Caenorhabditis elegans: one gene and its partner. The protein of the gene in region 1 interacts with the protein of each later gene in a pairwise test. Each region holds a gene or a part of one and is shown in the gene's direction. Other genes may lie near its edges.

Region 1 (6,784 bases):
TATATGTTTATTGCCAACATGAATCACACAATCGGTGAATAGCTCATCTTCCCACATACTTCGATTATTTGCGCGTACAATTACTTCAGGCATTTCTTCTTGCTCCTCTGTGCTAACATCTTCGTCCACAACTGGCTCAACTGATATTTTTGATCCAGGAGGGAAGTATTCAACTTCACAAATCAAAAAGAGAGTTCCGTCAGATCGAAGTGCCCCAAGCATCTTATCACGCGAAACTTGGAACTTTCCACGCCCTTGTTGGTTTGTGAAATCTTTGGTATCTCTGCATACACTGACTCTTTGATTATTAGCATCGAGAGCATAAATTTGAAATTCTGTCATGATGGGCTCCTCTCCTCTCTGAAAAAGGTTTTTATATTTTATATATAGAAAATATGAATGAAACTTACGGCTAATCCAACTTGTCTCAAGAAAAACGATACATTATTCACATCTTCATCACGCTTTCCATTTGGATACACATGAAGTTCCCAGCAAACTGTTGGCGCATCAGGGACACTAAACATTCTTGAAATAAGATTCGAACCGTTTTTGATTAGTTTCATCAATTTCTCAAATTGTTCGATTTTCCATTCCAATTTTGTAGAAAGTGCCGTCACACGCGTTGCTTGCTTCGAAACTACTTCTAGACGGCGAGGTTGTGGAGGAAGATCGTCAGCTGAAAATGAAAATAATGTTAAACTCTCAAATTAATTGAGCTATTCTCACTAACCTCTGGAACTGATTGTGCGATTAATCTGCTCCGTGGATGACCACGAGGAACGTGAAGACATATTATATTGCGAATAAGTTTTACCTCTGTTGATAAGTTGAGCGAGCAAGAGGTTATTCTGAAAATAAATTCAATTAAAAGAAAGCTATTCCCGATAATCTCGATAAAAATAAAAGAAAATGATTAAATTCAAAAAGACACAACAACTGGGAAACTCCGCGAATGAATTATTTACGAAAAGCAGGAGTTCTTTGTTAGAGTTACGAAATAAGCAATACGATTTTCGAAACCGATCTACGAAAAATTACACATATTAGAAAAGTATTAAAATTACGAAATCGCCGTTTGATATTCGAAAATACTACCTTTTTTTTAAGTTGGACAGTTTTTAAAGTTTTCAAAAGGAGATCTTCATGAACTCGTCTATGAGGAATAAATGTGGTACATTTCAATATAAAATGGGTAACAATGACAGTTTGGAAATAATTTCCTTTTCGAAAAATTGATATTTGTACAAAATTCGGAACAGTTTCGAAAAAATGATATTACCCCAGTCACATGACTTGAAAAAGGAAAAGTTGCAATTCAGAAGCTTTACTCAGATTCTGAGGGCAATAGAAAATGCCAATAAGTTTTCGAAAAATCAATAAATTTTTTCGGGCAGATGTCTTTCCTCGGCGGCGGCGAACGCGAACGCAAATAATGGCTGCCAAGAAGAGGCGGGTCTATTGATCGAAACATTACGCCGAAGAGTGTTTGAATTACCGGGCACCGTAACCTCAAACACCTGCAGATCTAAGTACGACGCTCCACTCGACACAATTGCGCGCGTTGTTTAGATTTAAGGAAATTTAAATTTTACTTTCGAAAATAGAAATTATCGGTTTTTATTCATGATTTTCTGGTTCAGTCTGAATAAATTCCGTTTTTTAATGTAAATTTTGTGCGCTATTAACTGTAATGCACAATTCCAACTATCAATTCATGTGATCTTACAGTCTAAACAAAGACAAATCTCTCTTTCCAGTTTCTCTACAGTAATACTTATTTTTCCTTGCTCGTCAACTCATTGATTAGTTTTAATTCTATTTTTATATAGTGTGTTATAGGTATGGCCAACTACGGCGGTCATCCCCAAACTGAACCACATGCTATCCCGGATTCAATTCTGGAAGAAAAGTCTCGAAAATGGAAACAACTTCAAGGAAAGCGGTATTCGGAGAAAAAGAAGTTTGGAATGTCCGATACGCAGAAAGAAGAAATGCCACCTGAGCACGTCCGAAAAGTTATCAGAGATCATGGTGATATGACTTCTCGCAAATATCGTCATGATAAAAGAGTCTACCTCGGTGCTTTGAAATATATGCCACATGCCGTTTTGAAGCTACTGGAGAACATGCCGATGCCCTGGGAACAAATCAGAGATGTAAAAGTTCTGTATCACATCACCGGTGCGATCACTTTTGTCAACGACATTCCGCGTGTCATCGAGCCGGTCTACATGGCACAATGGGGAACGATGTGGATTATGATGAGAAGAGAAAAACGTGATCGTCGTCATTTCAAGCGAATGAGATTCCCTCCATTTGACGATGAAGAACCGCCTCTCGATTATGCTGATAATATTCTGGATGTCGAGCCTTTAGAGCCAATTCAAATGGAACTAGATCCAGAAGAAGACGGAGCTGTTGCTGAATGGTTCTACGATCACAAGCCTCTTGCAACAACTCGATTTGTGAACGGCCCAACGTACAGAAAATGGGCATTCAGTATTCCACAGATGTCCACATTGTATCGTCTTGCAAATCAGCTGCTTACCGATTTAGTAGATGATAACTACTTCTACTTGTTTGACATGAAAAGTTTCTTCACTGCTAAAGCACTCAACGTTGCAATTCCAGGAGGCCCGAAGTTCGAACCATTGGTAAAAGATTTACATACGTAAGTGAAAAGCTTCCAGTTGTGTTATGACGCATACTATTTTATTATTTTCAGTGATGAAGACTGGAACGAGTTCAATGATATCAATAAAGTTATTATTCGAGCTCCAATTCGTACCGAGTACAGAATTGCATTCCCATTCATGTACAACAATCTGATCAGCTCGCTGCCTGTTCAAGTTTCATGGTATCATACTCCTTCAGTTGTATTTATCAAAACTGAAGACCCAGATCTTCCCGCATTCTACTATGATCCATTGATCAATCCAATCGTTCTCAGCAACTTGAAAGCAGTGAGTTATTTACAAGTTTCAGCAATGTTTTAAAATAAAATGCGGATATTATAAACAGATTCCTATAAATTTACAAGGTAGTCAGTAGCCGAAATTCGCAATATAAATTTTCCATTAAAGGCGAGAAATCATCCTTTTTGTCGGTGATATCTAGAAATAAAACTGGAGACAATTCGTATTGTATGTCAAAACATTTTCAGACTGAAGAAAATCTACCAGAAGGTGAAGAGGAAGACGAGTGGGAGCTGCCTGAAGATGTTCGACCCATTTTTGAAGACGTTCCACTCTACACCGATAACACGGCTAATGGTTTAGCACTTCTATGGGCCCCTCGGCCATTCAATCTTCGATCGGGAAGAACGAGAAGAGCAGTGGATGTACCACTTGTCAAATCGTGGTATAGAGAACATTGTCCAGCAGGTTAGTTTTGTTTCTATTTTTTTCGTTTCGTTTCTCGCATACTAAGCTGAAATAATATATTCAATTTTTCAGGAATGCCCGTGAAAGTTCGTGTTTCTTATCAGAAACTGCTCAAGGTGTTTGTTCTGAACGCTCTCAAACATCGTCCACCGAAGCCCCAGAAGCGTCGTTATCTGTTCCGTTCCTTCAAGGCAACAAAATTCTTCCAAACAACCACCCTGGATTGGGTAGAAGCTGGATTGCAAGTTCTTCGTCAAGGATACAACATGCTCAATTTGCTCATTCACCGAAAGAATCTCAACTATCTTCATCTTGATTACAACTTCAATTTGAAACCAGTTAAAACATTGACAACAAAGGAAAGAAAGAAATCTCGTTTCGGAAATGCATTCCATTTGTGCAGAGAAATCCTTCGTCTCACAAAACTTGTTGTTGATGCCCATGTTCAGTATCGTTTGAACAACGTCGATGCGTACCAACTTGCAGATGGTCTACAATATATCTTTGCTCACGTCGGTCAACTGACCGGAATGTATCGTTACAAGTACAAGCTCATGAGACAAGTCAGAATGTGCAAGGATCTCAAGCATCTCATCTACTATCGTTTCAACACTGGGCCGGTTGGTAAAGGACCTGGATGTGGTTTTTGGGCTCCGGGATGGAGAGTTTGGTTGTTCTTCTTGCGTGGAATCACACCACTGCTCGAGAGATGGCTTGGAAATCTGTTGTCTCGACAATTCGAAGGAAGACATTCAAAGGGAGTGGCCAAGACAGTCACCAAGCAAAGAGTTGAATCTCATTTCGATCTTGAATTACGGTAAGCTTTAAATGGCAAGAAAACGAATTTATTTATTAATATTTTCAGTGCTGCTGTCATGCATGACATTCTGGATATGATGCCGGACGGAATCAAACAAAATAAGGCTCGTGTTATTCTTCAGCATTTGTCAGAGGCGTGGAGATGTTGGAAGGCTAATATTCCATGGAAGGTTCCCGGACTGCCAACTCCAGTTGAAAATATGATTCTACGTTATGTGAAAGCAAAGGCTGATTGGTGGACTAATTCGGCACATTACAACAGAGAACGTGTAAGACGAGGAGCGACAGTAGACAAAACTGTGTGCAAGAAGAACTTGGGTAGATTGACAAGATTATACCTGAAATCAGAGCAAGAAAGACAACACAATTACTTGAAGGACGGACCATATATCTCTGCAGAAGAAGCTGTTGCAATTTACACGACTACAGTACATTGGCTGGAATCAAGAAGATTTTCTCCGATTCCTTTCCCACCACTTTCTTACAAACACGACACAAAACTTCTTATTTTGGCTCTTGAAAGACTGAAGGAAAGTTACAGTGTGAAGAATAGATTGAATCAATCCCAAAGAGAAGAACTGGCTTTAATTGAACAGGCTTATGATAATCCTCACGAAGCTTTGTCTCGTATCAAGAGACACATGCTCACGCAGCGTGCATTCAAAGAAGTCGGAATTGAGTTTATGGATCTCTACACTCATCTTATTCCAGTCTACGATATCGAGCCTCTTGAGAAAGTCACTGACGCTTACCTCGATCAATACCTCTGGTATGAAGCAGACAAGAGAAGATTGTTCCCGGCATGGGTGAAACCAGGAGATACTGAACCACCACCGCTTCTTACATACAAATGGTGTCAAGGTCTCAACAATCTTCAAGATGTTTGGGAGACAAGTGAAGGAGAGTGTAATGTCATCATGGAAACAAAATTGGAGAAAATTGCTGAAAAAATGGATTTGACACTTCTCAATAGATTGCTCAGATTGATTGTGGATCACAATATTGCCGATTACATGACTTCGAAGAACAACGTTCTCATCAACTATAAGGATATGAACCACACCAATTCTTTCGGAATTATTCGTGGTCTACAATTTGCTTCGTTTATTGTTCAATTCTATGGATTAGTTCTTGATCTTCTTGTTCTTGGACTTCGACGAGCTTCCGAAATTGCCGGTCCGCCCCAATGTCCAAACGAGTTCTTGCAATTCCAGGATGTTGCCACAGAAATTGGTCACCCTATTCGTCTCTACTGCCGGTACATCGACCGAGTTTGGATCATGTTCCGTTTCAGTGCTGATGAAGCACGTGATTTGATTCAAAGATACTTGACAGAGCATCCAGATCCGAATAATGAGAATATTGTCGGTTATAACAACAAAAAGTGTTGGCCAAGAGACGCTAGAATGAGATTGATGAAACATGATGTCAATTTGGGTCGTGCTGTCTTCTGGGATATCAAGGTAAATTTTATTTTTAATTATTTTTTTAAAATTTTAACACGAGGTATAAGAAAGCGAGCAATTATTCGATGGCTGCTCGTTGATAATTCCTCGAAAACTAATGGAAATTAAGCGATTATCCGCCTCATGAACAGATCCATCATTTAACTTGAATGATAAGGTCTACTTGACAGGCGTACATTAAAATGTAGAATTTACTATTTTGATTTTTAAATATTTGTTATTTTACAGAACCGTCTCCCACGTTCCATCACAACTGTCGAGTGGGAAAATTCATTCGTATCAGTGTACAGTAAGGATAACCCGAACATGTTGTTCGACATGTCCGGATTCGAGTGTCGTATTCTACCAAAGTGTCGTACGGCTAATGAAGAGTTTGTTCATCGTGATGGTGTATGGAATCTTCAAAACGAAGTGACAAAGGAAAGAACTGCTCAGTGCTTCTTGAAGGTCGATGAGGAGTCATTGTCCAAATTCCATAACAGAATTCGTCAAATTTTGATGTCTTCTGGATCTACAACGTTCACCAAAATTGTCAACAAATGGAATACAGCATTGATCGGATTGATGACCTACTTCAGAGAAGCTGTTGTGAACACTCAAGAACTTTTGGATTTATTGGTGAAATGTGAGAATAAAATTCAAACGAGAATCAAGATTGGACTCAACTCAAAAATGCCCTCAAGATTCCCTCCAGTTGTTTTCTATACGCCAAAAGAAATCGGAGGACTTGGAATGCTATCTATGGGACACGTCTTGATCCCACAGTCTGATCTTCGATGGATGCAACAAACGGAAGCTGGAGGTGTCACTCACTTCCGTTCCGGAATGAGTCACGATGAAGACCAATTGATTCCAAATCTGTACAGATATATTCAACCTTGGGAAGCAGAGTTTGTCGATTCTGTTCGTGTGTGGGCAGAATATGCGCTCAAGAGACAAGAAGCCAACGCTCAAAATAGAAGACTCACTTTGGAAGATCTCGACGATTCATGGGATCGTGGAATTCCGAGAATCAATACTTTGTTCCAAAAAGATCGTCACACATTGGCATACGATAAAGGATGGCGTGTTAGAACCGAATTCAAGGCTTATCAAATTCTGAAGCAAAATCCA
Region 2 (6,784 bases), 1.5 Mb from region 1:
GTTTTTTTTTCGTAAATTCGAATTATCCTGTATCATCCGATCAATCGTTTTGCGTGGTGTGACAACAATATTTCAAATTTTTATTTTCGTTTTGAAGAAAATAAAATTTTAATTGAATAAACTTTTGAATCAATTGATTTTATCAATAAAATTACAGGGATATTACGAAGACGCGACAGTTTGGGATTTTTGTACCAAAAATACGGTACCTGATCTCCACATGATAAATTTTTGTTATCTGCGAAAAGATGTGCGCCTTTAAAAAGTACTGTATTTTTCAACTCTCGTTGCTACGGAACTTTCATTGATTTTTCATAATTCTTCGATGATGAACAAAAATCGTGAAAAAAACAACAAAAAAATTTCAAATCACAGTACTCATTGAAGCCCTTTTCACATTTAACAAAAATATTTATGTCGTGTCGAGACCGGGTACCGTACTTTTGAAACAAAAATCTCAAAATACCGCGTCTGGATAATATGGAAAACATTTATATTTTTTAATTTCTAAATATCGGTTATTTCAATTTTAAAGGCATATTTTTGCATTCCTAGGCTTGAAATATAAGTATTTAAACCCTATAAATTCGCGCTGCAACTTTTAAAATTTGAAAAAGCGCGCATTTCAAGATAGCGTGGCAAGACCCAACTTCTAAAATGCGTGCGCCTTTGACAATCACGTTTTCACTTTCTTGTTCAGTCGCTACTGGCACCTTCGTCGCCGCTATTTATCGAGAATTAGTTTCTCAAATTTATTTTTTTATTTTCAAAAGATTTTTAAATGGTTTAATCATGTGCAATCGATATTTTTTCCACGTAAAAAGAAGTATAATTACTCTCTTCTTAATTTTTTGAAATTTCGTAACCATCGATTTATTGGTGCGTGTTCCTGAAAAATACACCACGTTTTTGCTTAATTTCATTCAAATTAATCGATAATTCTATATTTATTTCTAGATAGATGGAGCAATCCTCCCTACTTCTGAAGAAACAGCTGGCAGGTGAGTTGGGATTAAACGTGATCTATGATCAAAACTAACTTTTTTCTGTTTCCAGACATGCGCAGAGTTCCAGTCGACGGATTCTCGGCAGGTCTCGTCGATGACAATGACATCTACAAATGGGAAGTCCTGGTGATCGGACCACCAGATACTCTCTAGTAAGTTGTTTGTTTGTGAAAATTGTAATTAGTTTTTTCTTGCAGCGAGGGAGGTTTCTTCAAGGCTATTCTCGACTTTCCAAGGGATTACCCACAAAAACCACCAAAGATGAAGTTCATTTCGGAAATTTGGCATCCAAACAGTTAGTATTTACTGAAACAAGTCGATTTTACACATAAAATATTTCAGTTGACAAGGAAGGTAACGTGTGCATCTCGATTCTTCACGATCCCGGAGATGATAAGTGGGGTTACGAACGTCCGGAAGAGCGTTGGCTGCCTGTGCATACTGTCGAGACGATCCTTCTTTCTGTCATCTCAATGCTCACGGATCCTAACTTTGAATCTCCTGCAAACGTTGATGCAGCGGTTCGTCTAAACAATGAAAAATAACCGAAATATTTTAATTTTTTCAGAAAATGCAACGTGAAAACTACGCCGAGTTCAAAAAGAAAGTTGCTCAATGTGTTCGCAGAAGTCAAGAAGAATGATTTGAACATTGCATCAACAGAGAAGAAGCATTAATTTAACTCGTCGTTCATATGAAACTATCCACTTTGATCTTCTTTTTCTTACTCATTCACCCCATTTTTTGACACCACGTGTTTCTAATTTCTTTCCTCATAAGCGTTGGACTCGTTACTTTTTATTCCCCTTAACATTTTTTTGAACGCAAAACCTGTGAATTTGCTTCGTAATTTTTTTTTGTCTAGTGGTGGTGCTCTTTTCCTTTTGTTAACATCCAAACTATAGTTACAACTATGCAACTCGTTTTTTTTCTGAGAGCGGTACCACATGTTTATTTGTTTGGTATGAATTCACAATCCTCGTGATGCTACTTCTTATCTTTTATGAGAAAATAAAATTTTTTTTTCACTAAATACAATCAATTTCATCTCTGATAAATATGTCATTCGTTCGAAATACATTAGACGGAAAATAACGAAAACCGTTCCGCGTGCCTCGCAATTGCAAAAACTGCGTGCGAGCGTTGCAAAAAGAGGCGGGGCTTCATTTGGAAAATATTTAAAAATTATTTTTTTAATTTGATCTGTTTCAGTTATTAAAAGTGATTTTCAGCTCGAAATGGGAAAGAAAAATGAAAAGATAGTAGAAGAAGCTGAAAAGGTAGAAGCAGAAACAATGGAAGTCGACGAACAACCACAGGAAACCCCACAAGTGGACGACGAAGAAGATTTGAACGTACCTTCAAAAAAGAAAATGGAAATTGTAAGTTTTCTACACTATTCCTCTAAAAAAATGTTCTGTTTTACAGCTGGACCCAAAAAGTTTCGAACAAGATCCATCTAATTTGACGCTTATCATGTACGAGGAAGATCACACTATTGGAAATTCAATCAAGCACATTTTGAGCAGAATGTATGTTTTACGAACGAATCGATCAGATGTAATTGTTGTTTAATTTCAGGGATGAAGTTGAATTTTGTGGTTACAACGTTCCACATCCTCTGGAAGACAAGATTTTGTTCAGAGTGCAGACAAAGGATGGTATTAATGCTCTGGAAGTTCTCGCGAAGGCATTCGAAAGTGTTGAACAAATTTTTTCCACGATTAGAGGGAAATTTGAAGAGTCTTATGAGCAAAGCCAATCGTAAAATTGCTATTCATTTTGTCATTATTTGTTATCCATTTTGTTGTTTTGATGTTTTTGTTTGACTTCACCCATTTCAATCTGAAATGAAAAATTTGTATTGGCAAAGATAATTATTTGTGATTCACGTTTTTATGTTTTATTCAAAATATGCCATATTTTTGTTTGCATCAAAGATTTTCTCAATCCAAATCTCCAGATGTCCGGTACGGGTGCCTTGATGACTGTCCACGTTGGACAGTGCGGAAATCAGCTTGCTCAAGCCTTCTGGAAATCGATGGTCGACGAACATGGAATCAATGAGTAGGGAATAAATTTGAGGCACCGACAATTTCAATTAGGCAAAATTCGATATACCACAGTCCGAAATGTGAAAACTATTGCAATTTTTATATTTCAATACTGAAATGCTGCAATTGTGAATTGTTCTCGTGAATCGACATGATTGAAAACAAAATATGAATTATTTTACTTTTGTTTGAGATGAAACAAACATTTTTGCTAAGTTAAATAATTTAAGACGCAATTTATTCAAGGTCATAATTCAGCCTCATAATTTTGATAAATATAACAATTTTTTTCGTTTTCAGACGTGGACAAACAACTCACGAAGACGATATGAATGATAAGAAAGATCTATTGTTCTACCAGGCTGATGACGATCATTATGTGCCAAGAGCAGTTCTAGTCGATCTAGAACCTCGTGTAATCAACGGAATGATGCAGTCTCCAAACTTTTCGAATCTTTTCAATACGGACAATATATTCATGTCCGATCACGGAGGTGGTGCTGGAAATAATTGGGCAAGTGGATATTGTCAAGGACAGTGAGTTGTATTTCTTTAATTGAAAATCAATGATAAATAATATTTAAGAGAAGTTCAAGAGAAGATAATGGATATCATCATTCGAGAGGCTGAAAATACGAACAATTTGGATGGAATTCTATTTACTCATAGTGTTTCTGGAGGAACTGGATCTGGAACGGGATCTCTCTTGCTCGAAAGGCTTCGCGAAGCATTTCCGAAGAAAGTTATTCAAACTTACAGTGTTTTTGCAAATAGTGACACCAGTACTGACGTTGTTGTTCATCCATATAACTGGGTACTTTCTATGCAAAGACTTATTGAGAATCCTGGTAAGTTAATAAATTAAAAACGAAATGACAATGATTTATCGAAAAATCTATGAAAATTCCGCAACAACGAACGTTTGAAATTACAGTACCCTTAAAAGGCTCACATATATTCGCATTAAGTGAAAAAGACCGGGTACCGTCTCAATTTTTGTATCTGAGTAATAATAAAAAAAAGGAATTTCAAATAAATAGTTTTCAGATCATGTTGTTGTCCTCGATAATGCTGCACTGCACCGTCTTGCGGCTGGAAAATTCAAAACAGATACACCAACATTTGATCATATCAATTCTCTTGTCGCCCGAATCATGAGCACTTCCACTGCTCCATATCGATTCAACTCTGCAATGTGCCCATCAATTCGGTATTTGGATTTGGCTCCGTTTCCACCAATGCACTTTATTCAATCCGGTTTGTTTTTATTCCGAAATATGTTATTTTATCTATTTATTTTGTTTTTTGCAGCTATCTCTCCTGTTGTCGATCCAAATGAGAACTTTACCCGAAAAACTTCAGTCGCTGACGTCACTCGCTTCTTGTTAAAACCAACTTCAATGATGGTTTCAACTGCTTCTCGGGTTCGGCCAAATGACTGCATGCTATCAGCTTACATGTTCCTTCAAGGACAAATTGAGGCACATACAATTATGACTGCTGAGCAAAACGTTGATGTAAGCTCAATACTTTAAAGAATTTCCGGGAAAATTGAAAAATAAATTTACTAAATCAACCATAAAATTCAATTTTTATCAAATTTTGTTTATGTTCATGAAAACTATAAGAAAGCATATAAATATTTTCTAAAAATAAAAATAAGCAACTTTAAAAAATATTTTTCGAGATATCGGAAAAACGAAAAATTTTCGTAAGCTAATTTTGGAGATGTAGATTTTATTCTCAAAACACGAAGGCGGTCACAAATACCGAGATACTGCAAACGAAAAAAATCTTCAAATTACATTGCAAAAATGAGCGCTTATTTTGACGAATCAGCAATTGTGAAGCAAACTTTTTTAAAAAGTATTTTTGACATGAAGTAAAAAATTTTTAGAAACTTGGAAATTTGACAAAAGCGTGGCAATTCAAATAACACATTAGTCAGAAAATCAAAAATGCACCAATAAAATCACTATTTTAAAGACAAAATTAGTGATTAATAATGACTTTTTTTCGTTATTTTTCTATAATCCACCTTAAAGCATCAAATCAATAAAATCAAATTTCAGTTCGCAATCAGAAGGCCTCCATTCTACATGCTTAAACCACTTCGAATGATGCATGCTCCACTCTCTCCATATGTTCGGCCACAATACAAAGTATCTGGACTCTTGCTCAATAACAGCACAAGCGTGGCTCCGTTATTCGAATCGCTTCTCTCCAAATACGACAAACTACGATCAAAGAGAGCCTTCATCGACAAGTTTGAAAAGATTGACAATTTCTCGCTGGATATGATGGACGATGCAATGCACATTGTGCAAGACTTGCTGGACGAGTACAAGGCGGTCGTACAAAAGGACTATCTGACAAGAGGGCTTTAGATTTATTATTATTTATTCTCGCGGGATTCTCATTCACTTCTTAAAACGGATCTCTGTCGATTATCATATGCTGTGTTTATTGTATTATTTATATCATGTGCTCCTCATCATCATCATAATTTTCACATAAATATTGGTACTCTTGTCTCAGTGGTTGTACTATTGAGGTTTATTTAAATTATTTAGTTATGATTATTGCGCGATAGCAATAGAGAGACATATTGAGGTCTGAAAATGAAAGTGTTTCAAGCTGCACATACGGTCAACAAAACCACCGGGTGAAAAATGAAAAAAAGAGGAAATCGACACGATTTGTGTAAAAGTAACGGGGCAGTGTCTGGAGATGAACAAGACTGGAAAAAAAGGAAAATGAAAAAACAAAAAGTTATCGGTGGGGAGAACGAAACAATGGATAGGTCCGTGAGAGCGCGGGAAATAAGGAAGCTAGATTGATTAGAAGAAAAATGACAAGAAGACCACAATCGGCACAAAAAATTTTGGAAAAAAACATTTCATAGAAACACAACAAGTAGTATACCTAAAACAAGAAGAAAAATGGGAAAAGAACAAAAATTCATCAAATTTTGTGATAAAAATGATAGATACTGTGCCTGGTGAGAGAGAGAAAAAAGATGAAGAGCAAAAAACAGGATCAACCTGAAGAAAGAAAGAGAGAAAAAGAGAAAGAGAGAGAGATTATGAAACGTGGAAAATTTGATAATTGTATTTGTAATTGTAACTCTACATTTGTCAAAAGTCAGGCTCAACGGACGAGCGATGTCTGTGAGGTTGGTGGAGGAGATGTTGGAATGAAATGACTTCCCTCCAAATGACGAATAGCTTCAACAATTGTTTGCATTGATTGAGACAGGGTCAGGCTCGGTTGTGTGCTTCTGGAATTGATGGCAACATATTAATTTTTTTAAAAATTCGAAAAGTTTGCTCGAGAACTATTATGCAGACGTAGAAAATCTCCGCCCTCCATAGCTGGGTCTCGTTAGGTATTTGGCGGCAAATCCGTGAATTCAAACGTTTGTCATTAAATAATTGTACCAATTTTCAGGAGTTTTTCGTCGTTTTTCGTCTTTCGTTGTTTTTATTGGAAAAATGGTTGTTTTTATTGGAAAGTTTTTTTAAAATCAATTTGGCATACGTACCCAGAAAGACGCAAAATGTTCAAACATTGGCGAAACTAATAGAAAAAGTTTGAATTACTGGTTTGGCCCCCCAATACCTAACGAGACCCAGCTGTTGGGGGCGGTCCTCGATTTTACAAGGGGGATTTTTCTACGACCTCATAATAGCAATATTGCAACCTACAGTAACCACAACATTT

What was found.
Region 2: the proteins of prp-8 (region 1) and tbg-1 interact in a two-hybrid assay, tested with the Caenorhabditis elegans proteins (one large-scale study listed by BioGRID).

What each region holds. Positions count from the first base shown.
Region 1 is NC_003281.10:8,162,533-8,169,316, forward strand, and holds the start of prp-8 (Pre-mRNA-splicing factor 8 homolog), read left to right. Parts: upstream 1-1,840; 5' UTR 1,841-1,844; coding exon 1,845-2,674; intron 2,675-2,728; coding exon 2,729-2,966; intron 2,967-3,007; exon of another isoform or gene 3,008-3,140; intron 3,141-3,166; coding exon 3,167-3,386; intron 3,387-3,458; coding exon 3,459-4,203; intron 4,204-4,251; coding exon 4,252-5,668; intron 5,669-5,681; exon of another isoform or gene 5,682-5,851; intron 5,852-5,899; coding exon 5,900-6,784. Other genes in the region: bath-42 (BTB and MATH domain-containing protein 42), read right to left, coding at 1-360, 411-679, 734-794. UniProt on the Caenorhabditis elegans protein: Functions as a scaffold that mediates the ordered assembly of spliceosomal proteins and snRNAs. Required for the assembly of the U4/U6-U5 tri-snRNP complex.
Region 2 is NC_003281.10:9,625,341-9,632,124, reverse strand, and holds tbg-1 (Tubulin gamma chain), read left to right. Parts: upstream 1-2,970; coding exon 2,971-3,074; intron 3,075-3,361; coding exon 3,362-3,598; intron 3,599-3,646; coding exon 3,647-3,909; intron 3,910-4,108; coding exon 4,109-4,318; intron 4,319-4,372; coding exon 4,373-4,578; intron 4,579-5,133; coding exon 5,134-5,448; 3' UTR 5,449-5,593; downstream 5,594-6,784. Other genes in the region: ubc-7 (putative ubiquitin-conjugating enzyme E2 7), read left to right, coding at 962-1,001, 1,057-1,159, 1,205-1,302, 1,350-1,528, 1,576-1,650; rpac-19 (putative DNA-directed RNA polymerases I and III subunit RPAC2), read left to right, coding at 2,246-2,389, 2,436-2,539, 2,589-2,775; hlh-11 (Helix-loop-helix protein 11), read right to left, coding at 6,212-6,341. UniProt on the Caenorhabditis elegans protein: Tubulin is the major constituent of microtubules. The gamma chain is found at microtubule organizing centers (MTOC) such as the spindle poles or the centrosome, suggesting that it is involved in the minus-end nucleation of microtubule assembly.